Rattus norvegicus: one gene and its partners. The protein of the gene in region 1 purifies or fractionates together with the protein of each later gene. This does not show direct contact. Links are inferred from orthologs where the notes say so. Each region holds a gene or a part of one and is shown in the gene's direction. Other genes may lie near its edges.

Region 1 (5,047 bases):
ACTCAGTGCTCGCCCCAGCCTGTTTGTGGCCCTACAGTCACTCGGCAACAGCACAAAAGCCAAACAGGAACTGCCACAATCCCAGCACCTGGGAGGCAGAGGCAGGCAGAGCTCTGTGAGTTCAAGGCCACTGGTCTGCTTTGTGAGTGTAGATTCACAGGCTAGCTACGTGAGCTGCCCAGTGTGGTGGCCTGGGGTGTGGAGGAACGGAGTGGAGTCTCCCAGAGGGCCATGAGGGAGTAGATGGTAATTACTGGGTCCTTCCTACAGGGCTTTGAAGCCGCCCGTGACATAGAAGCTCTGATGGAACGCATGAGGCAGCTTCAGGAGAGCCTCCTGCGGGATGAGGGGGCTTCCCAGGAGGAAATGGAGAACCGTTTTGAGCTGGAGAAGACGGAAAGCCTGCTGGTGACCCCCTCAGGTACAGGCTCACAGGCGCCAGTGCTAGGGGCTGCTGCCTCTCTCTTTACACTTCTGATGGGAGCAGATGCCTCCACACGCTTTGCCTTCTCCTTTCAAGAGGTTCTGAGCACCGGCCTTGTGTTCAGACTTGCCTTTGAATCCTGGTCTGTTAGCGCTTCAGGGCTTGGGTGAGGTAGATGGGCCAAGTTTCTTCCCCAGATTGAGCCATTCTATAAAACTGACACTATTACTGTTGCGGGGGGCTAGGGGGCTGGTTTGACGCTTGCCTCCTTCCAGCGGCTCTAGCTAACACCCTCCTACTTAGTGTGGGGAGGGGCTCTCTGTGGCCCCTGCTGTATTCCCCCCCTCACCCTCCCCACTCCCTGATGGTGGGGATCCTGTTGTGTTCTGCCCAGTCTCACTGTCCCCTCTTTCTGATGTGGCCCTCAGCGGATATTCTGGAGCCCTCTCCACACCCAGACATCCTATGCTTTGTAGAGGACCCCACGTTTGGATATGAAGACTTCACTCGTCGAGGGACTCAGGCCCCCCCAACCTTTCGTGCCCAGGTGTTGTTCATTGTTTCAGATGTTATACAGACGTGGGGGCAGGTACTTCAAGCGGTCCTAAGTAGGATACTGTCTCCCCTCAAAAACTCGTGAGGGCAGTGGAGACCCGAAAGGTCCCTCTTGTGGGATGGGAGGTCATCGCCCAGGTTGAGATCTGTGGTTGAGGGAAGGCATATGAGGCAAAGCTAAGGTGTGACTCCTACTCGTGCAGAGGACAACAGATCTCTGGCCAGCCACGGCCTTCCCAAGTCTTGCTCACAGACCTCTTCCCCCATTCCTCAGGATTATACCTGGGAAGACCATGGCTACTCGCTGATCCAGCGGCTCTACCCCGAGGGAGGGCAGCTGCTGGATGAGAAGTTTCAGGTAGCCTACAGCCTCACCTATAACACCATCGCCATGCACAGTGGCGTAGACACCTCCATGCTCCGCAGAGCCGTCTGGAACTACATCCACTGCGTCTTTGGTATCAGGTGAGTACGTGCCCCGCCCCAAGCTCAGGTCGCGTGTGTCCCCCAAGTCTTCCCTGGGCTCACTGTCATTTTTAGTTCTTGTTGTCTTCTTGGCTCTAATAAAATTTCAGGCCACCACGTTTATGCCTTTGCAGGTTTAAAGCTAGTAAGAATGCTCAGTGCGCAGGCTCTGTAATACACTCTCCCAGGCATAACTAGGCTTTGCTCTGTTTGCTTATGCAGCACTCAGGATTGAACCCACGACCTTGTGCGTGCTAGACGGGCAGCACCCTTTGTTTTATTTTATTTTGTGTTGTTTTATGTCACTTTACTTTTTTTTTTTTTTTTTTTGGTTCTTTTTTTCAGAGCTGGGGACTGAACCCAGGGCCTTGCGCTTTCTAGGCAAGCGCTCTACCACTGAGCTAAATCCCCAGCCCCACTTATTTGTTTTTGATGTCTTGGGATGTCACCTCAACTAGCCTAGAACATGTATGGTTCAGGCTAACCTTGAACTTGGGACAATCCTCCTGCCTTAGCTTCTTAGCTGCTGGGCTTACAGACCTACTCCACCAAAGACGTACTCCAGCTTATGATTTCATGTTTTTGTGTGTGTATTCACACACCTATGCACATACAGAAACATGTGCATACGTATGTGCACGATACCCAGAGTCACGTGTAAATTTCCAATAGCGTTATCTTTTCTCACAGTAAATAAGGACAACACAGATATGCACAGCAGAGTACTTTAAATAAGGATATTTCCATTCATAATCTATTATGCAACTCGTGAAAATTATACCTGAGAGCCAGGCATGTGGACAGTGGTCATGTACACAGAATAATGTTGTGAGCTAAATTTTATCTTGTCAAGTCTTTTCCTGATTTCAAAACAATTATGTATATATTTTCTTTGTATGTTTGTGCGCGCGCGCGCACACACACACACACACACACACACACACACACACACACGTGTGTGTGTGGCACAACATATATGTAGAGGTCAGAAAGAAACTTACTGGAGTTGGTTCTCTCCACCATTTGGAGCCCAGGGATCAAACTTGGGTCATCAGTCTTGACGGCAAGCTCCTTTAACCATTGAGCCATCTCGCCTGTCCGCTGACTGGTTTTTGAGGAAGGCCTTTTTTAGAGTGATGTGCTATTTACTGTTGAGTATTGAGGGTTCTTCTCGAAGTTGATTTGGTTTTCCTTTTGTTCTTTTTCCCCCTTTCCTACCTCCTCCCCTCTCCCCACTGCCAAGAAGGAGTCTCAGAGGCTCTGTTAGCTCCCTGGGACCCCTCTGCCTCTTTGACCACCCTGGTGCTGAGATAATAGGCCACCACCACCCTCAGCAGTTTTTACTCTTTTTTTTTTTTTTTTTTTTTTCGGAGCTGGGGACCGAACCCAGGGCCTTGCGCTTGCTAGGCAAGCGCTCTACCACTGAGCTAAACCCCCAACCCCACTTTCATTTATTTTTATCCACGTGTCTGTGTCTGTGTGAGTGCATGCCATGCACGTGTGGGTGCCTAAGCTTTCCAGAAGAGGGCATCAGATCCCCTGCACCTGGAACCACCTGACATGGGTGCTGGAAACTGAACTTGTGTCCTCTGGATGATCGCCAAGTGTTCTTTTTTAAAAGATTTATTATTTATGTCTGTGAGGAGTGCTTTCTTTGCACCTCTGCCTTCATGGCAGAAGAGGGCATCAGATGCAATTACAAGTGATTGTGAGCCTATGTGGTAGTGGTACTTAAACTCAGGACCTCTGGAAGAGCTGACTATGATCTTTGTTTTTTTTCCGGAGCTGGGGACCGAACCCAGGGCCTTGCGCTTCCTAGGCAAGCGCTCTACCACTGAGCTAAATCCCCAACCCCCCAGTTTTTACTCTTATAAACACTGTCCACACTGACCACTCTCCCGCACACGGTGGAACAGAATCTAACCGAGGACAACAGGTGTTCTTATAGTTAAATGCCCAAAATAACATGACTTATCTAAGAGATATAGAGACAACTATATTGTTTGTTTGTTTGTTCTTGAGATGTCTCATGACAGCCCAGGTGAACCTTGAACTCCTAGCAGTCTGTCTTAGTGTCTCTAGTGCTGGGATTGTGGGTGTGAGCTGATTACCTGGCTCCTGGCTTTTTCTTCCTGTTGTCTTTTTTTTTTTTGGTTCTTTTTTTCGGAGCTGGGGACCGAACCCAGGGCCTTGCGCTTCCTAGGTAAGCGCTCTACCACTGAGCTAAATCCCCAGCCCCGTCTTTTCTTTTCTTTATTTCTTTCTTTTGATTGATTTATTTTTGTGTACACCTGCAATCTCAGCACTGGAAAGGCCAAGACAGGAAGATCAGGAGTTCACGGCCATCTGTGGCTATTTAACAAGTTCAGGAGCTGGGCTACAGGACTCTCCAAACAACTGTAAAACCCAGCGACACTCTTCAGGAGAGCGCCTAATTTTATTATTACCAGGCGTTTCCTTCCTGCCTTTTTTCCCATGCACACACATGAACGAGACCAGGGAGGGAGAGGGGAGTGGCTTCTCGACACTGCCAATTTGCTTGCTTCTGATGAACTCCATTTATCGTGTACCACCGGAGTATCTGCCTTTGCGGGTCCGTGACTGGAGACAGTCAGAGCTCGGTAGCGCATGCTTGTCAGCGTTACTTGGAGTGTTCCTCTACGAGCCTTGTCACCTATGACCCGTGATGTCAGCTGTTTTTCTAAGAGGAACCAGGCCTCTCACGGCTTCCTACCTTCTCCTTCTTCTGGGCACTCTGTTCCTCCTTCTATGGGGTGGGGGCAGGGGAGCCGGGCTGCTTCTGGGAGCAGACTCTGAGTAATGCTGTCGTGTCTGTCTGTCCATCAGATATGATGACTATGATTATGGAGAGGTAAACCAGCTCCTGGAAAGGAACCTCAAGATCTATATCAAGACGGTTGCCTGCTACCCGGAGAAGACGACCCGCAGAATGTACAACCTCTTTTGGAGGCACTTCCGCCACTCAGAGAAGGTGATGGCAGCGTGGGTGTGGGAGGGGCTGGAGAAGAGTCAGAGGTTAGAACCCGGTGAGGGCCACACTGTGGGTCTGTCCTACGAGGTGTGACACCCTGGCCTGTTATCTTTGTTCAGATTCGATTCTACGGTGTAATTTCAGACTTCAGTTAAATTGGGCAGTCAGGTGCCTGTCTTCCACAGGCTACGTGGGCATAGATGCAGATTTTTTTATTTGTTTGGTTTTTTATTTTTTTGAGACTTTTTTCTGTGTAGCCTCGACTGTCCTGGAACTCACTCTCTATGCCAGGCTGGCCATGAACTCTCACGAGATCTGCCTGCCTCTGTCTCCTAGGTGATGGGATTAAAGGCGTGTGCCGCCACCACCACCACCCCCAGTCATAGGAGTGGATCTAAATCCTCACATAGGACAAGTTACCTTTGAGCGTCTCCCCTTTATTTTTTTTTTTTTTTTATGGGGCTGGGGACTGAACCCAGGACCTTGCGCTTCCTAGGTAAGCGCTCTACCACTGAGCCAAATCCCCAACCCCGCGTCTCCCCTTTATAATGGCAAGGGACACTGCCAGCATTTCAAAGTTGGGAAGACACAAGGAGACTATGTATGGAAAC
Region 2 (5,047 bases), on another chromosome or scaffold:
CCACTTCTAAAGAGCGTTTGGATCCTGCTCCAAACTGATAGTGATAGATTATGATGAGCAATCCATAGACACTTCAGCTGACCTGCTTCACTTCCCTGTCTGGAACCCAGCTGGTCCGCACTTAGTAGGCCCCAAGACATAGTGACTAATACGGGAAGTCGACACAGCGGACACTTGGAGCGTTGGGCTAAATGCCTGGATTTAGACATGGAATCTTTTTTTTTTTTTCCTTTTCTTTTTTTCGGAGCTGGGGACCGAACCCAGGGCCTTGCGCTTGCTAGGCAAGCGCTCTACCACTGAGCTAAATCCCCAACCCCTAGACATGGATTCTTGAAGGAGTAGTTATACCAAACCCAGGAGTGGAAAGGTAGATGCCGATGGCTCCCGACCACGCACTCACAGTGCCTGCAGTGTTTCAGGTTGCAGTGTTAGGCTGATGCAGTCTGCATCTCTTGTCTTCTCACTCTACCCTTACTGACCTCATGAGATTGGATAGCCACAGGTTACCAAGAAGCAAAAGGAAGGTTGCCGGGCATGAGACTAAATCCACAGCAAGTGATTAACTAGGGTTAAATTGCCTATGGCCATATTAAGCCAGAACGCTTGTACCTTAGTTTTCTGCTGTCAGATTGTAAGCCCCTTTTTAATTGGTCCTTATGCCTCTCCTGTTAATAAATGTGCTGCTCCCTTACTCAGTCAAGTGACTTTGGTGACCTCTTTCAACTTTTGGAAATAAAATAGGACATTGCTCCCATGACTGGTTGTCCTTTTGAAGATACCAGATAGGACGACACTGTTACTTTCCGTTTCCCAGGACATTTCTCATTCCTCACAGCCACTTCCCGGGACAGCTCTGGGAGCCGAAACGTGCCCATGGTCTCCCATGTCTTTTACTCAGTTTCCCCAACTAAGTGTCTTTGACCTTCAGAAATGACCGCTTGTAGAAATAATTCAGGCCTGCTCCAAAAACAAGGCAATTCTTATGCTGCCAAGTGTCTCTGTCTTCATACGTTAAAGTTTGCAGAGCCCACACTGTCGTGTCTGAATTAAAATACCAACAAACCCTCCTGAACTGTCTACGAAGAAAAAAAAAAGTCTTTGAATCGTTTCAGGCAAGAACTTTAAACCTAGTACTGAACACCCTAAAGCCCCCCCATCCCATTTGTGGGGGGTCTTTACTAACTTCTTTACCTGCTGTTTTTAAGTTAATTAATTCTGGCTTCCTAGTACCTGCTTTGAATACCTGCCCAGCGTAATGGCCCTCCAGCAGGTGCTCCGTTCCCTGTGAGGGTCTGGGGTCAGGAGCTCTGGGCCTTTGGTTACCTTTTACTTCCTACAGATGCTGATTCATGTAATTGTGGGCATGATGTAATTTAGAGTCTCTGCAAATTACCAATGACCCAAATATGATGTACTCTGCAACTGTAGGTTTCCACTCTCCGGAGGCCCCATTAGTCACATCTTGTCATCTCCCCTAGAAATCAAGGCGGTGGAAAAGTAAGCGGGAGGGCTCCGACTCTGGCAACCGACCCATTAAGGCCGCTGGGAAGGTCATCATCCAGGATGTCTCGTGCCTCCTTCCTGTTCACAAGTCCCTGGGAGAGCTGTACATGTAAGTCCAAGGTCACAGATGACACCGAGCGTGTCCCTTAGGACCTGCGGGTCTTTTTAAAGCTTTGGATGATTTGGGGAAACACGGTGGGTGTGTTAGCTTTCTGTTGGTGACTCACAAATTACCAGACTGTGGCTTCATTTCCTACCTCACTGTCTCTGCAGGTCAGGTACAGGCTCTCACCTGACTGAAAGCATGACCTCGGCCCATAAATGGTCTCCTCCGATGCTCAGGGTCCAGCAAGCCTGGACTTAGACCCTTCTTGTATTGTTAAATCCTTCTCGTATTGAAAGACAGTAGGGAGTGGAGGCTGGCCTGTAGGTCCTCCAGGTCCTTGAACACATAACAGAATACTCCCAGCACAATACTTTTCTGATGGAAATCACAGTTGGTTTGCACATATTTAAATCCCAGACCTTGTGAACTCAACAGAAAGGCTGGTAGCTAATTAGTATTTTTCTTATTGCCACCTCCTGAAAGTGGTGGGTGTTTCTGGTCCCCCAGGGGGGAACCCACAGCCCTATAGCACCAGATCTAATTAACCCTTCCCTCCCTGTCAGAGGAGGTGTCGTGAGTGACAACCAAAGAGGCACTTTCTAGGCTGTTAAATCAGGAGGAATTCTTGGGAAATTCGAGTAGAAACCTTCTTAGTCTTTTCTGTTTTAATTTCAGATTGAATGTGAACGATACTCAGGAGACGTGTCAGAAGAATGCTACTTCTGCCATGCTTGTTGGAAGGAAGGATCTCGTCCAGGTATTATCATTCCCTGTTGGCGAGGTTCTGGCCTTGACAGCTGTCAGTTAGTGATGCTCATAGCGTGTGCCCCCTATTTGAAGTTTCTTTTTTATTTTCTTTGACAGCCTGTAGGACTCAGCAGCCTCCCTCTCCTCCCTCGTCCCCTGTCCCCTGTCCCCTCTCCTCCTCTTCTTCCTCCTCCCCCTCTTCTTCCTCCTCCTCCTTCCCCTCTCTCTCTCTCTCTCTCTCTCTCTCTCTCTCTCTCTCTTCCTCTCTCTCTCTCTTTCTCTCTCTCCTGGAACTTCTTCTGTAGACCAGGCTGGCCTCTAGCTCAGATCTGCCTGCCTCTGCCTCTTGAGTACTGGGATTATAGGGAAGCCCCACCACTGCCACCTGTGGGTAATTTTTTAAAATTGTGGGAAGATCCTGAAGTGGCTTTTTTTTCTTAAACTTTCTATTTCAATGCCACAGTGATTATTGTCACCTAAATTTGAGGATCTGTACCTTTGTCATTTCACCTCAATTACTTTTTGAAACTTTTAAAAAAATATTTCATAAGGTTTACCAGAATGTATTTCAAGGTAGAGATGTTCAGTTCAGGGGGTTGGAGAGATGGAAAGGTGGCTGGAGCGTTGGCTGCTCTGATAGAAGGCCAATTCCCAGCACTCGTGTGGTGTCTCACATCTCTAACTCCAGTTCCAGGGGATCCAACCCCCTCTTCCGTCCTCCTCTGGCACCAGGCATGTGCATGATATTCATACCCGAAGGCAAAACATTCTTGCTTTTAACATAGTAGTAAATATTTAAATAATAATATATGACATTTATAAGATGTCAGTTTCCTTCATCTCTGTGGTTCTCATGGCTTGTTCTCTTTTATTGAGACTCAGTCTGCACATCACGAGTCTGCCCACTTAAAATGTGATACTTAGTGTATCTAGTGTTGTCAGAGCTCTCATTAGAAACTGCTCAAAGTGTTTTTTATCATCCATAGAAGAAACCATTGTCCTTCAGTCGGTTCTTCCCATCAGTCCTGGGCAACCGCCAACTGCTTCCTGTCTTTCTTTCTCTCTGTTCTCTAGTTGATTGCTAGACTGAGCTTTGGAAGTGACTAGCAGGTCTCCCAGCAGCTCACTGCTTTCCCTCATAACTAAATGAATCAACACTAAGGCCTTTTCTTGATTTTCATTTGATTAAAAACATCCCTAAGATTTCCATTCATCTAGTAATGAATATCACATCATCTCTCCCGGAAACCCTTTAAAGAAAAACTCCCTCATGGATTTAATCTATTTCTGTCAGCCCCACCCACCAGACTGAACACTAAGAAGGCAAAATGAGCTAATAGGAACAGCGTGGAATTTACAGTGGAGGCCAAGGCCAGCTCAGAGTCCTAGAAAACACCCCAGGCAAGTTATCTCAGGCCCTCAGCCTTTGAGGGAGTTTATAGTGTGAGAACCAGAAGAATTTCCTCCATGGGGTTGGTGAGATCAGTGAAGGCTGCTCCATAGCCCCAAAGAACAGAACATTCTCTCAGTAGGGAGTTCTCTCCCTCTTCCTTATTCTCTTCTGCACCTCTCTGCGCGCTCGCTCTCTCTCTCTCTCTCTCTCTCTCTCTCTCTCTCTCTCTCTCTTCTTCCTTCTCTCCACTCCCCTGCTTCCTTTTTCTTTTCCCTCTCCCTAGCTCCTCCCCCTCTCCCCCAGTGCTTTTCTGACAGAATTGGTATAGAAAGCTAGACCAGTCTCAGTGATGGGGAGACTCTTGTCTTCAGGCACCCCCTGCTTGACTTCTGGGCCCTAGCACTTTTTCTGTGTGTGATCCCCAGCAAGCTGCTCAGGCTTTCTGAGCCTCAGAGTCCCTGCTATAAAATAAACAGTGCAATACTTCTGACTTCATTAGATAATAAAAGAAGTAAACTTTGTGACTTCTAGCCGTCTGATCACTGGAAATGCCTGCTTTCTGTATTGTATATTTCCACAGCTGTTCAGCGATTGTTGTTCATAACTTGATGTTTAAAGACAGAAATTACCCGAGCGACAATGAGTGCTCCAAGAATTTTATTGTTTTTCTTCCTGCCTTTGATAAAGATATGCTTCCTGTTTTGTGTCCCTCACATTTACCAGAGAAACAAATGCAAGGGCGCCCTTCTGTGGAAACCCTTTAGGAAATGTGCATTATGGAGGGAGACACTAACACAACTCAATCGTCAGCCACGGCAGAACATCTGTCCTGCTGTCTCTCCTTGGAGAGAGACTTGTACGTCGCTTTCAGCATGTTGCCGTCACGCTAGTATTTTACACATCTAATGTTTGCCTTCTGGCATTTGTATTTACTTGCTCATCTCAAATTATAGACTTGATTCAAAGTTCGTGTCTTCTTCCTTTTGGGTTTAGAGTGGTGTATTCCAATGACTGTATTGCTTTTCCTGAGCCAAACAAAACAGAAGAGATTTTCCAAAAGTAATATTCAATTTTCTGAAGGGTCTCAAGGGGTTGGGGCTCTTTCTGATGGGTAGTGAAGGCCTTGGGCTTAATAGACATTTAATGGACATTAGTGTGGTGATTCTAAGCCCCATAAGGTTTGAGGCCTGGGTGACTATCAGACTTCATGTCAACATAAACAAAGCCAAGGTTGTTTAGTTCTTGGCCTGTTCTTTAGCTTCAAGAGGGCCCTAAAACTTTCGTAATGGAGGTGACAG
Region 3 (5,047 bases), on another chromosome or scaffold:
GGTATGAAATTAAATGATGTTTTTGCGTAGACCAGAAAGATGCTTATGAAAAGCATATTTTGATCTGGAAAAATATTTCTTATTGAGTCCAATTAAAGCGTGTTCTTTGTTACAGAGGGGGGTGATGATAAAATTTCTTTGAGAATTTGCCAGAGGATCCTTAGGGAAACAAATTGGTCAAAACCAAAGAATTTTGGTTGGTTGGTTTGTTCATTTCAGTCTAGATTTTCAGGTGTAGTTCACTTACATTCCTAAAGGGTATATTGCTATTTATATTTAATACATGTAGAAAATTATTTCTGAGTGCTTAGAGTACTGAATTCTTACTTGTTCTGGCCAACTTTTAACCTATTCTAGTTCATTCTAGTTTTATTCTATTCTAAAAAAAACATAAAATTGACTGTAATATATTTAGTTTCATTCTAAAGTTAAAAAAGTTAATGCTTTGCCCTGAGCGTCTTTGCTTGTGCTTCAGGGAAAGCCTCTGTACTTGACAGTTTGAGAGGTATGTAGTGCCATTAAAAAAGAAGAACATATATGAGACTGTGGGATCAGCATGCAGCACCCTCTACCCCCAGAGGGATTCTATTTCTAATTTAATTTTGCTGCAACCTGAAAGAATACTTTCTTATCATGTATACCTGGAAAGTTTGGTATTTGTATGCTTTCAGTTTAAAAGATTTTCAAACTTTATAGTAGACTAGGCATTTTTGTAAAAGTGAATAATAAGGCTATTAAGAACAGAAAGTGGGAGTATTGTTTTAATTAGAAATGGAAGAATGGTTAGAATCAAGAGCCATAAGAAAAGTGTAAGAAAGGCTGTGTTTCAGAGAGCATAGCTTTCTCCTGTGGAGTGAAGCTTAGAAGGCCATGCAGAACTGAAGAGCTGGTTGACAGCTTCATAGCAGCACTGTCCACCCGGAACAACTGTTTAAAAAAGTCATTGGTGGGCTGGAGAGATGGCTCAGTGGTTAAGAGCACCGACTGCTCTTCCAGAGGTCCTGAGTTCAATTCCCAGCAACCACATGGTGGCTCACAACCATCCGTAATGGGATCTGATGTCCCTCCCCTTCTGGTGTGTCTGAAGACAGCTACAGTGTACTCATACACAAAATAAATAAATAAATCTTTAAAAAAAAAAGTCATTGGTAAGGAATGCTTTGTGTGAACGTGTCTACATGCAGTTTTGTGACAATTCTGATAGCTCTTTTTGGCCTAGAAGTTTTTCTAAGTATATTAAAATAAAAATACCAAAATACTGTTTTTTCCTCCAGTTGACTCTTTGTACATCAGGATATCATTAGAAGTAGGAAAAAAGAAACCTTTGCAATTATGATCATGTGGTAAAGTAGCATTACTTTCAATACTCTGCCATAGCGTGATGACCTTCCTGGTACCGCTGGCAGGGATTTTAGTGAGGTGGTGTCACTGTTTCCATTTCTATACCAGGTAATTGTACAACAGCATAAGAAACTGCTGGACCAAGAACTTGAAAGTTAACCATTTCTCGCTGCTGTGGAAGTAGTTCAGTAGAGCATGCCAGTGGGATTCTGAGTTCAGTCTCCAGTACTGTGGGGGAAAGTACTTAACTGCACAGTCTTTTCATGCATGTGTATATGAGTTGTTTTTAAGAATGTATTTTTTCTTTGTACTCAACCAAATTTAACAGTTTTAATTTTTTATGCAAATTCACCCTTTGGTCACTGTTGAGGATTTAAGAACTATGGGGAAGGGGGCTCTTAAGCTTCTGTTAACTTTGACTAGCTGTGTACTCTTAACCTGCAGGAGATCTGAATCTCAATGTGGTGGCAATGGCTTTATCAGGGTATACGGACGAGAAGAACTCCCTGTGGAGGGAGATGTGCAGCACACTACGCTTGCAGCTCAACAACCCCTATCTGTGTGTCATGTTTGCATTTCTGACAAGTGAAGCAGGGGCCTATGACGGAGTTTTGGTGAGTTAGTTTGTTTCCCCAGATCCTCCTTTAAATTAATAGGGTTGCTTTTTTATAGTTTTGTTAATACAGTACTAAAACTGTTTCACGCTTTACCGAAAAACAACTGTAAACACATAACATGTATTTACTGTTTTAATACTGTGTGCGTGCCTGCATGCGAGGACAGCTGATGTTCACTCAGTTAGTTTTGGCTAAGGTGTCTTTACATCTTAAATAGACAGTCATTTTGAGACAAGTCCTGTTTGGAAAACCATGTAATCATGCTAATTATACTAATCTGTATTTTATTCAGTTTTTCAGGTCTCTTTGTTTCTTTCCTGATTTAGTCACTATATAAACATGTCACATGTCCCTTGTCATAACTGAGGAAAGAATGAAGTGAGGTTTCCCTATCCATTTCAGTTGTTAACTTAAAACATTAAAGCCACTTTGCTTTGTACTGTTTGTCATCTTTCCAGTAATGAAAAGAACTTTCTTTATTAAGGTTTATAAGACGTATATTGTTTCAGTGGTTGTCATTCTATAAGATCTGTAAAAGCATATATTTTATTGATTTATCATAAACTTATTACTACATTTGTTAAACAGAAGATTTTAATTGTTGTGTTTGAGCTAACAGTAAACTTTCAGCATGAGCTAGAGAGTGATAGAGTCGAAAAGGAAATGAACTGATTGCTTAATGTTTAAATATTACATTTCTGTATTTAATTAGTGACCTATAATAAGATCCCTTCTCTTATCCCCACAGCGAGAGCTGAGAAGGAAATTCATATATCCAAACTTTTTAAGAATGTATTTAATTTAATGTCTACGTAATTTTATTTTTTTATATTTTACCATAAGTACATACATACTGACTTTAGAAGTCAGAAAAGGCTCAAGTCTTTATTCTGCCACAGTGTTTAACCTTAGCTATTCAGTTAACTTTTAGGGCTCTAGTTTTCTCAGATATAAAATGGACCCAATTTTTTGATAAACCCATTTGTTTTTGTAGCACATGCAACTGAGTCGAAGAGCTTACTCACTTCTTAAAGATAGAGTTTCATTTTATAATTGAGGAACGGTAATGAGTATCAATGAAAAGAATATTAGATTTTAAGAAGGAAAACTCCTTCAAAGAAAGACTTTGATAGAAAGCCATCTTTTTGCTACCTATAAATTAATTTTTTCTTAATGCAAAATTTGTTGGAACTTTCTAAATTTATAGTAACATTATCAAAGTAAATTTTCAAATAATGTTGATGAATAAAATGCTACCTCTAATTATCCTATTGCAAACCACTCAGATAGCAGTATGAGACAGGGTGTCAGTTTACAAGTCTTAGGTTTTGCATTAAGAGTTATAGGTAGGCTTTTAAAAGGTAGGTTTATTTTTCTTTTATGTGTATGCACATTTTGCCTGGATGTATGTCTGCTCCATATGTTAGTATTGTCTAAGGAGACCAGCCAGATGTAAGCATTGGATCCCTGGGAATTGGAGTTGCAGGTGTTTGTGAGCCACCATGTGGGTGCTGGGGAATCAAACCGGGATCCTCTGGAAGAGTACCCGGTGTTCTTAACCACTGAGTCATCTTTGTAACCCCAAGTTATTAATATTTTAAATCTGTACTGGTATACCCAGGTCATAGATTTTTCTAGGTTTGGTGACTAATTTTTATGTAGCTGTTTCTAAAATTAATTGCTTTGAGAGAAATTACATGACATCTAGTTATAGTTTATGTTAGTGTTAGAAAACGGCCTGCTTTTTTACATCTATATAACTGAATTAGGTAGGTCTGTTTGAAAGATAAATCTTTACTGTTCAGGACAATGACCTTTGTACTGTGTTTCCTAATGATAACATCAGAAAGGCTTCTTTGGCAATTGATTTTTTTCAGCATCTGATCAGTACCTTTGTAATACATTTGAAAATAAACTTATAAATAAATGGCATGTATAATTATCTCCTCCTCTCCCCCCTCCCCGCCCCTCAGTATGAAAACAAAGTTGCTGTACGGGACAGAGTGGCATTTGCTTGTAAATTCCTTGGTGATGCTCAGGTGAGAACTGATTCAAATCTATATTTGAGATGATTAATGTTTACTATGAATTATTCTTAAGAAACTAATCTTTACATGTAATTATGTGCCTATAAGATTTCTATATAAAATCTAAGAAGGCAGTTATTATATTGAAATTATAAATAGGCATGTAATAACTAAATTTGTTTTAGAATGTTGAGTTGATGTTTTAGTTTATTTTTGCATTTTGAAGAAAACTCAGCAGATACAAATTTTAAACTCAGGTTTTAGTAATGTGATACACAGGAACCGTTTTCAGTATATTCACACTTACCTGCTGCCTCTGAGGGTAGTGAGGATGGAATGCACACAGATGGCTAGCGGTGCTGTAAATAGTGACAGGTGATAGGGAAATGTGGAGGAATGCAGGCTGGAGTTTGCATGGGATGAAGTGAGACTGTGGAAAGGAAATAGTTTTTATTGATGATTATAAACATATAGTTCTGATTCTGTGATACTGTTATATACTACCATAATAGACAAGAACTTGCTGAAAAGAGGACATTTCTCTCATTAGCCACCTATAAACATAGGAAATGTCCTACAGTTTTTTAAGTGATTGTGGGAACTAGGGAGATAGCACTGTCATTAAGGTGCTCACTGTGCAAGTTCAAGGCACCTGAATTGAATCCCCTAGAGCCCGTGAAAAACCTGAGTACAGCATTGTGTACTTGTCCTAGGGCACACATGCCACACAAAACTAAATTGATTGTGGATAGATACTATATTGAAACTTGAAATTGATGTAGACTTCTCAGCACATATTAGAGTTTGGCAAGGGTTTCTGACCTAAAATCATTTCCATCAAGAATAAAATTGTTCTAAATATAGTAATTCTCAGCTATAAAATATGTAGTGAAACAGATTGTATCAGAACAATCACTATGAATTTTTCAGTTAAATAAATACATTGAAAAGCTGACCAATGAAATGAAAGAGGCTGGGAATTTGGAAGGCATCTTGCTGACCGGCCTCACTAAAGATGGAGTGGACCTGATGGAGAGTTATGTGGACAGAACTGGAGATGTC
Region 4 (5,047 bases), on another chromosome or scaffold:
GAACATACTGGCCTTGCAGTTAAGTTGAACAGCTGAGGATGAGACGTGCTTGCTGTAGCTGTCATAGAGCGTTACAACCCTGTGTTCAATTCCCAGCATCAAAAAAAAAAAAAAAAACCCAAAACAAAACAAACAACAAAAAAACAACAACAACAAAAAACAGACAAAGCAGTTCGTTTGGTTACACCACATGGCCTTGACACTAGAGGAAGAAGCTCTTGAGAGAACCAGGTTTTCATTGTTGTCCAAGGAGGTTGAAGTGGCAGTTTCAATTGGGTGGTAGCTGGGAGAGAATCAGGGCTCACTTTAGAGGGGAAGGAGTTGGCACGCACTCCCAGAAGGCAGAGGTTGGGTGAGCCAGAGCTAGGGCCTGTTATTGATTGGTAGGTGGTATGAGAACCAGCCAAGGAAGAACTGGCATGTGGGCACTGTGTGGCTCGGAGGCTGTGATCACTGGGACACAGGGCCTTCCTTCACTGGTTCTTTGAAAACCTTAGGCTTTGGGGACAACAGGTCACAGACTGTCAAACAATTTTCCTAAGCTCTGCAGTCTTAGGGATTTATTATTTGAGAAATCCCTAATCTACAACCCTCGTGCTCCTGCTCTGCATGTACTTAGAAAACTGGGTGTGGGTGTTGGGGACCAGCTCGAGAGACATTTTTATTGGCTTGAACATTTTAAGAGCTCTGGAGATTGAACCCAGAGCTGTATGGTAGACAGGCACCCCATCGCTGAGCAACATTTCACCCACATGGTAGGGAAAACCTGGATCCTGTAGGTTCTCCTCTGACCTCCACATGCACATAAATGATGGTGGTGGTGGTGGTGGTGGTGGTGGTGGTGGTGGTGGTGGTGGCGGTAGTGGAGGAGGAGGAAGAAGAAGACGAAGAAAAGAAGTAGTTCAGGTAACCTAGGTAACCTTTATAAGAAGCAAGACCCTGCTGGGTACGATGGCACCTGCCTTTAGTTCCAGCACCAGGAAAATAGGTAGAGCTCTGAATTTGAGGCCTACCTAGTCTACATAGAGAATTCCAGGCCACCGGGAGCTATGCAACGAGAACCTGTGTCAAAAAAACAAAAACCCATGGCAAGACCTCCACCTGCTACTGTGAAGGAAGGATGGGAGTGACAGGCCAAGGGACAAGAGAGCAAGCAGCTAGAAAACCTTTCATAAGAGTTTGTTAGAGCTGGGCTGTGGTGGACCATGCAGTTGAAAGGCAGAGGCAGTCAGATCTCTGTGAGTTAGAGGCCAACCTGAGTGAGTTTCAGAACAGCCAGGGTTACACATACACAACCTGTACTTAGGACATGAGTGAGCTCCAGAGCAGCCAGGGTTACACATACACAAATTCTGTCCTGGAAAACAACAGAAAGAGTTGGTTAGAGAGCTCCAGGCCCCCACTCAGCCAGCTGATGGCTTTCATGTCCAGTACGTGATGCACCTGACCTTTCTGCTACACAAGCTAAGGCACCAACCTGGAAATGGGCATCAGGAACGAGCAAAGGGACAAGTGGCCCAGCATTTCAGCCTCACTGGCCTGACAACAGCTGAAGAATCCTTGCTGAGGGGAGGCCAAATGCTCTAACAAAGAACACCAGCTCCTGGTAGCTGGGTTTTCTTGGTGCCTGCCTCTGGAAGCTGACAATGGTCCTGGTCCTGCCAACAGTGTCTTGCTGGTGTCTTTAGGATCAGAAGCCGTGGACCACTATCTCACAGGGTCAGCCCTCTGGGAACTCCACCTTTGAGTAGTCAGGAACCTTTGCTAGAAAATGTTATGGGTAAGTCCCATGTGCCTTGGGGAGGGCTGACCACTGAGTATGCTCTCCAAGGAACAGCCAGACCTGATCGGCGCCTGACAGCCATGAACCACAAAAAATGTAAAAGCCTCTGGAGAAGACTCAGGAAGCTGTGATACAGAAGGGGAGATATAGCCTTGACAGTAGAGAGAAGACAAAAGCCCAGTGCAAGCAACATCCACACATTTACATAGTGTTACATAGTTTTTTATTTGTTTTAAGCCAAAGGTTGTCTCTTAAAAGGACAGGGAAAGGAAGGTAAATATTGACAGGGTAGGAAATAAACAAATGTGAACTTGAACCAGGGGGACTAGGACTGTGGGGGTTGAAAGGCCCACAGTGGGACTCAGGTGGGTTGGTGTGTGGTTGGGAAGGAACTGGTGAAGCTGTGGGGTGCTGTCCTTTGGTTCATTTATTAGAAAAGCAGCACAAGTGAACCTGTGTCCCTAAGCCCTCACCACAAACATGTGCCTGCTGCTAGACTGGCTGGGTGCTCTCTAGCCTCAGGGCCACACACTGAGCTAAACATTGGAGTCCGGGTGTAATTGTCACTTCATGAGGCCTTGTGTGTCGTGGCCTCCAGCAGTCATGGCTAGGCATTCTGCCCATGTATAGTACTGGCCTGGCCTCTGCAGCCTGCTTTCCTATTGGGTTGGGAGAAACAGGTTCCTCCTGGGGGCACTGGTTTGGAGGAAGGGAAAGGGCTAAAGTGATGCATGGTGTGTTAGTTACCAAGGCTGGGATTGGGAGAAGCTCAGCTCTTTGTTTCTGGTCTGTGGGGTTGGCACATGGTCTGTCATGTCACCTAGTTATCTGGTCATATCTAGAGCTATGTGGCTATCCTTGTGCTGGCTGCTTGTGCCCTAGTCCGTATGCTTTGTTGGGGACGGAGTCTGAAAGCACTTCCTCAGCCCACAGATCCCAGATCCCAGAGATAGATGCAGGAAGGCCTCTGGATTTGACAGCTTGATTCCTTCTCTCTAGGCATCGAGGTTGACATTGATGTGGAACATGGAGGGAAGAGAAGCCGCCTGACACCCACCTCTGCAGAAAGTTCCAGCACAGGCACAGAAGATAAGAGTGGTACTCAGCCAAGCAGCTGCTCTTCGGAAGTCAGCAAACCTGACGGGGCCGGGGAGGGCCCTGCTCAGTCTCTGACAGAGCAGATGAAGAAGATAGCCTTGGAGTCGGTGGGACAGCCAGAGGTAGGTCTGCTAGCGTCAGCCTGAGGGGTCCTGTCCCTCCTGCTGTCTCTGTGGTGTGTGTCTTCAGCACCCTGAGCCTTACCTGACATGTATGAGGTCCCAGGTCTTATGCAGGCAGCTCTCCAGTGCCTGGAATGGGCCACACTTTGCTGGGACTTGTCAGTGGCTCAGGCCCTGCCGCTCACAGCAGGTTGTATTCCAGGAACTGATGGAGTCGGATAACTGCTCAGGAGGGGATGACGACTGGACGCATTTGTCTTCTAAAGAAGTGGACCCATCCACAGGTGAACTCCAGTCTCTACAGATGCCAGAATCGGAAGGGCCAAGCTCTCTAGACCCCTCACAGGAAGGCCCCACAGGGCTGAAGGAAGCTGCCCTGTACCCACATCTCCCACCAGGCATGTGGTCACCAGAGGTTTCCTTTTCCTTCTTTGCGTTCAGTGTCCTGTCCTGTCCTGTCCTGTCCTGTCCTGTCAACACAAAAGAGGTAGCCTGGCTTGGGGGTTAAGGTGGTGCCCTAGTCTTTGAGTGCTCCAGGTGGCTTGTCTTCAGGACATGACCTGCAGTGACAGCTGTCACTGCCAGCTGACATTAGAGAAAACTAGAACGTGGTTCATACTCCATCGGCATCAAGCAGCAGTAACCTCATCTCATTTTTAGGAATTCCTAGATGTCAGTGCCCAGGGGTTCTGAGAAGGCACATGGGACAGGGAAGGCAACGCTGGCTTTGCGTGGCTACCAGCTATGAAGTGGACTCAGACTCTGTACACCCTTTCCTCGGGGGTGGGGGTTGTAAACCTTACTGGCAGGTACCACAGCCAAGGCCCCAGTGGAAGCCAGACTGAAGTTTGTGTAAAGTGCTGGACAGGGATGGGCAGTCCCAAGTGGATGCCCCGTGGAAGAGGCAGCTGGCTACCCCAGAGCAACAGGGTTTAAGTGGGTGGTTCATCTCTGGGCCACATCTGGTGTTTGGGCTTCAAAGAGTATTTTCTTTGCAAAGAGCAGAGGCAGCAAACCGTTGCATGGGTAAGTCTGGGGGAGGTACTCTGTCATGGGTTCAAGGCCACCCTCTGTACCCCCATGACAGACTGCTTAGCTTAAATGTGCAAGGCTCTGGGATGGAGTCACAGCCTGGTTTAAAAACAAAACAAAAACAAGGCAGGGTTATGGGAGCTATAGAACTGGCTCATTGGGTAAAGTACATGCAGGAAGGCCCAGAATTTGGGTTCCCATAACTCGTGTAAAAAGCTAAAGGTGAGCATTTGTGTCAGCTGTCTATAGTCCCAGCCCTTAGGAGGCAGGCAGACTCCCATTACAAGTTGGCTATGTGATTGGGTAAGCTATGGGTTCAGACACCCTAACTCGATCAAGTACAGAGCAATAGAGGAAGAGCCTTACTTCGGCTCTGGGCCTCCACACTTTCACACATACATGTGCACCCACATGGGAATGAATATGAGTACACATGCTACATATGCCAAATAATAGAGGGAGGAGTCAGAGAGGCAGTTAGAGATGGACATTTCATCATCTGTAAAGGGTTAGTTTTGAGATGGTGTCTTGTTGCCTGCTTCCAGCTCGAGTGTTGGGATTACAGGCTTGAGCAGAATTAACTGCACTGTTTTGTCTACATAGCTCCTGGCTGTTTTATGCTTCAATGGCAGGACCAACAGTTGTGACAAGACTGGAAAGTCTGCAAAGCAAGCTGTTTGTCCCTTCAGCCTGTGAGGGTTCCTGTAAGGCTGAAGCAGAGGGGTCTCCATGGCAGGTGGAGCTGCTCTGTTCTCAGTGCTGCGGGGCTCCTTACTTTCCTGTCTTGCTTTGGCAGAGGCTGATCCCCGGCTGATTGAGTCACTCTCTCAGATGCTGTCCATGGGTTTCTCGGATGAAGGCGGCTGGCTCACCAGGCTCCTACAGACCAAGAATTATGACATCGGGGCTGCTCTGGACACGATCCAGTATTCAAAGCACCCTCCACCATTGTGACAGTGCTGTGGCCAAGTCCCACAACCCACCTCCCTTGTCTTCTAGTTGCATCATGTAG

What was found. The genes of interacting proteins can lie anywhere in the genome.
Region 2: the proteins of Sesn2 (region 1) and Wdr59 purify together in Homo sapiens (affinity purification with western blotting; 4 studies listed by BioGRID and IntAct, with this or other methods). This does not show direct contact. The link is inferred for Rattus norvegicus from reciprocal best matches to the Homo sapiens genes SESN2 and WDR59.
Region 3: the proteins of Sesn2 (region 1) and Mios purify together in Homo sapiens (affinity purification with western blotting; 5 studies listed by BioGRID and IntAct, with this or other methods). This does not show direct contact. The link is inferred for Rattus norvegicus from reciprocal best matches to the Homo sapiens genes SESN2 and MIOS.
Region 4: the proteins of Sesn2 (region 1) and Sqstm1 purify together in Homo sapiens (affinity purification with western blotting; 3 studies listed by BioGRID and IntAct, with this or other methods). This does not show direct contact. The link is inferred for Rattus norvegicus from reciprocal best matches to the Homo sapiens genes SESN2 and SQSTM1.

What each region holds. Positions count from the first base shown.
Region 1 is NC_086023.1:149,987,560-149,992,606, reverse strand, and holds part of Sesn2 (sestrin-2), read left to right. Parts: intron 1-270; coding exon 271-421; intron 422-852; coding exon 853-971; intron 972-1,253; coding exon 1,254-1,444; intron 1,445-4,291; coding exon 4,292-4,436; intron 4,437-5,047. UniProt on the Homo sapiens protein: Functions as an intracellular leucine sensor that negatively regulates the mTORC1 signaling pathway through the GATOR complex. In absence of leucine, binds the GATOR subcomplex GATOR2 and prevents mTORC1 signaling.
Region 2 is NC_086037.1:56,337,122-56,342,168, reverse strand, and holds part of Wdr59 (GATOR2 complex protein WDR59), read left to right. Parts: intron 1-1,478; coding exon 1,479-1,612; intron 1,613-2,284; coding exon 2,285-2,366; intron 2,367-4,472; coding exon of another isoform or gene 4,473-4,655; exon of another isoform or gene 4,656-5,047. UniProt on the Homo sapiens protein: As a component of the GATOR2 complex, functions as an activator of the amino acid-sensing branch of the mTORC1 signaling pathway. The GATOR2 complex indirectly activates mTORC1 through the inhibition of the GATOR1 subcomplex.
Region 3 is NC_086022.1:37,242,812-37,247,858, forward strand, and holds part of Mios (GATOR complex protein MIOS), read left to right. Parts: intron 1-1,785; coding exon 1,786-1,955; intron 1,956-3,931; coding exon 3,932-3,997; intron 3,998-4,915; coding exon 4,916-5,047. UniProt on the Homo sapiens protein: As a component of the GATOR2 complex, functions as an activator of the amino acid-sensing branch of the mTORC1 signaling pathway. The GATOR2 complex indirectly activates mTORC1 through the inhibition of the GATOR1 subcomplex.
Region 4 is NC_086028.1:35,027,177-35,032,223, reverse strand, and holds part of Sqstm1 (sequestosome-1), read left to right. Parts: intron 1-2,782; coding exon 2,783-3,003; intron 3,004-3,205; coding exon 3,206-3,401; intron 3,402-4,831; coding exon 4,832-4,989; 3' UTR 4,990-5,047. UniProt on the Homo sapiens protein: Molecular adapter required for selective macroautophagy (aggrephagy) by acting as a bridge between polyubiquitinated proteins and autophagosomes.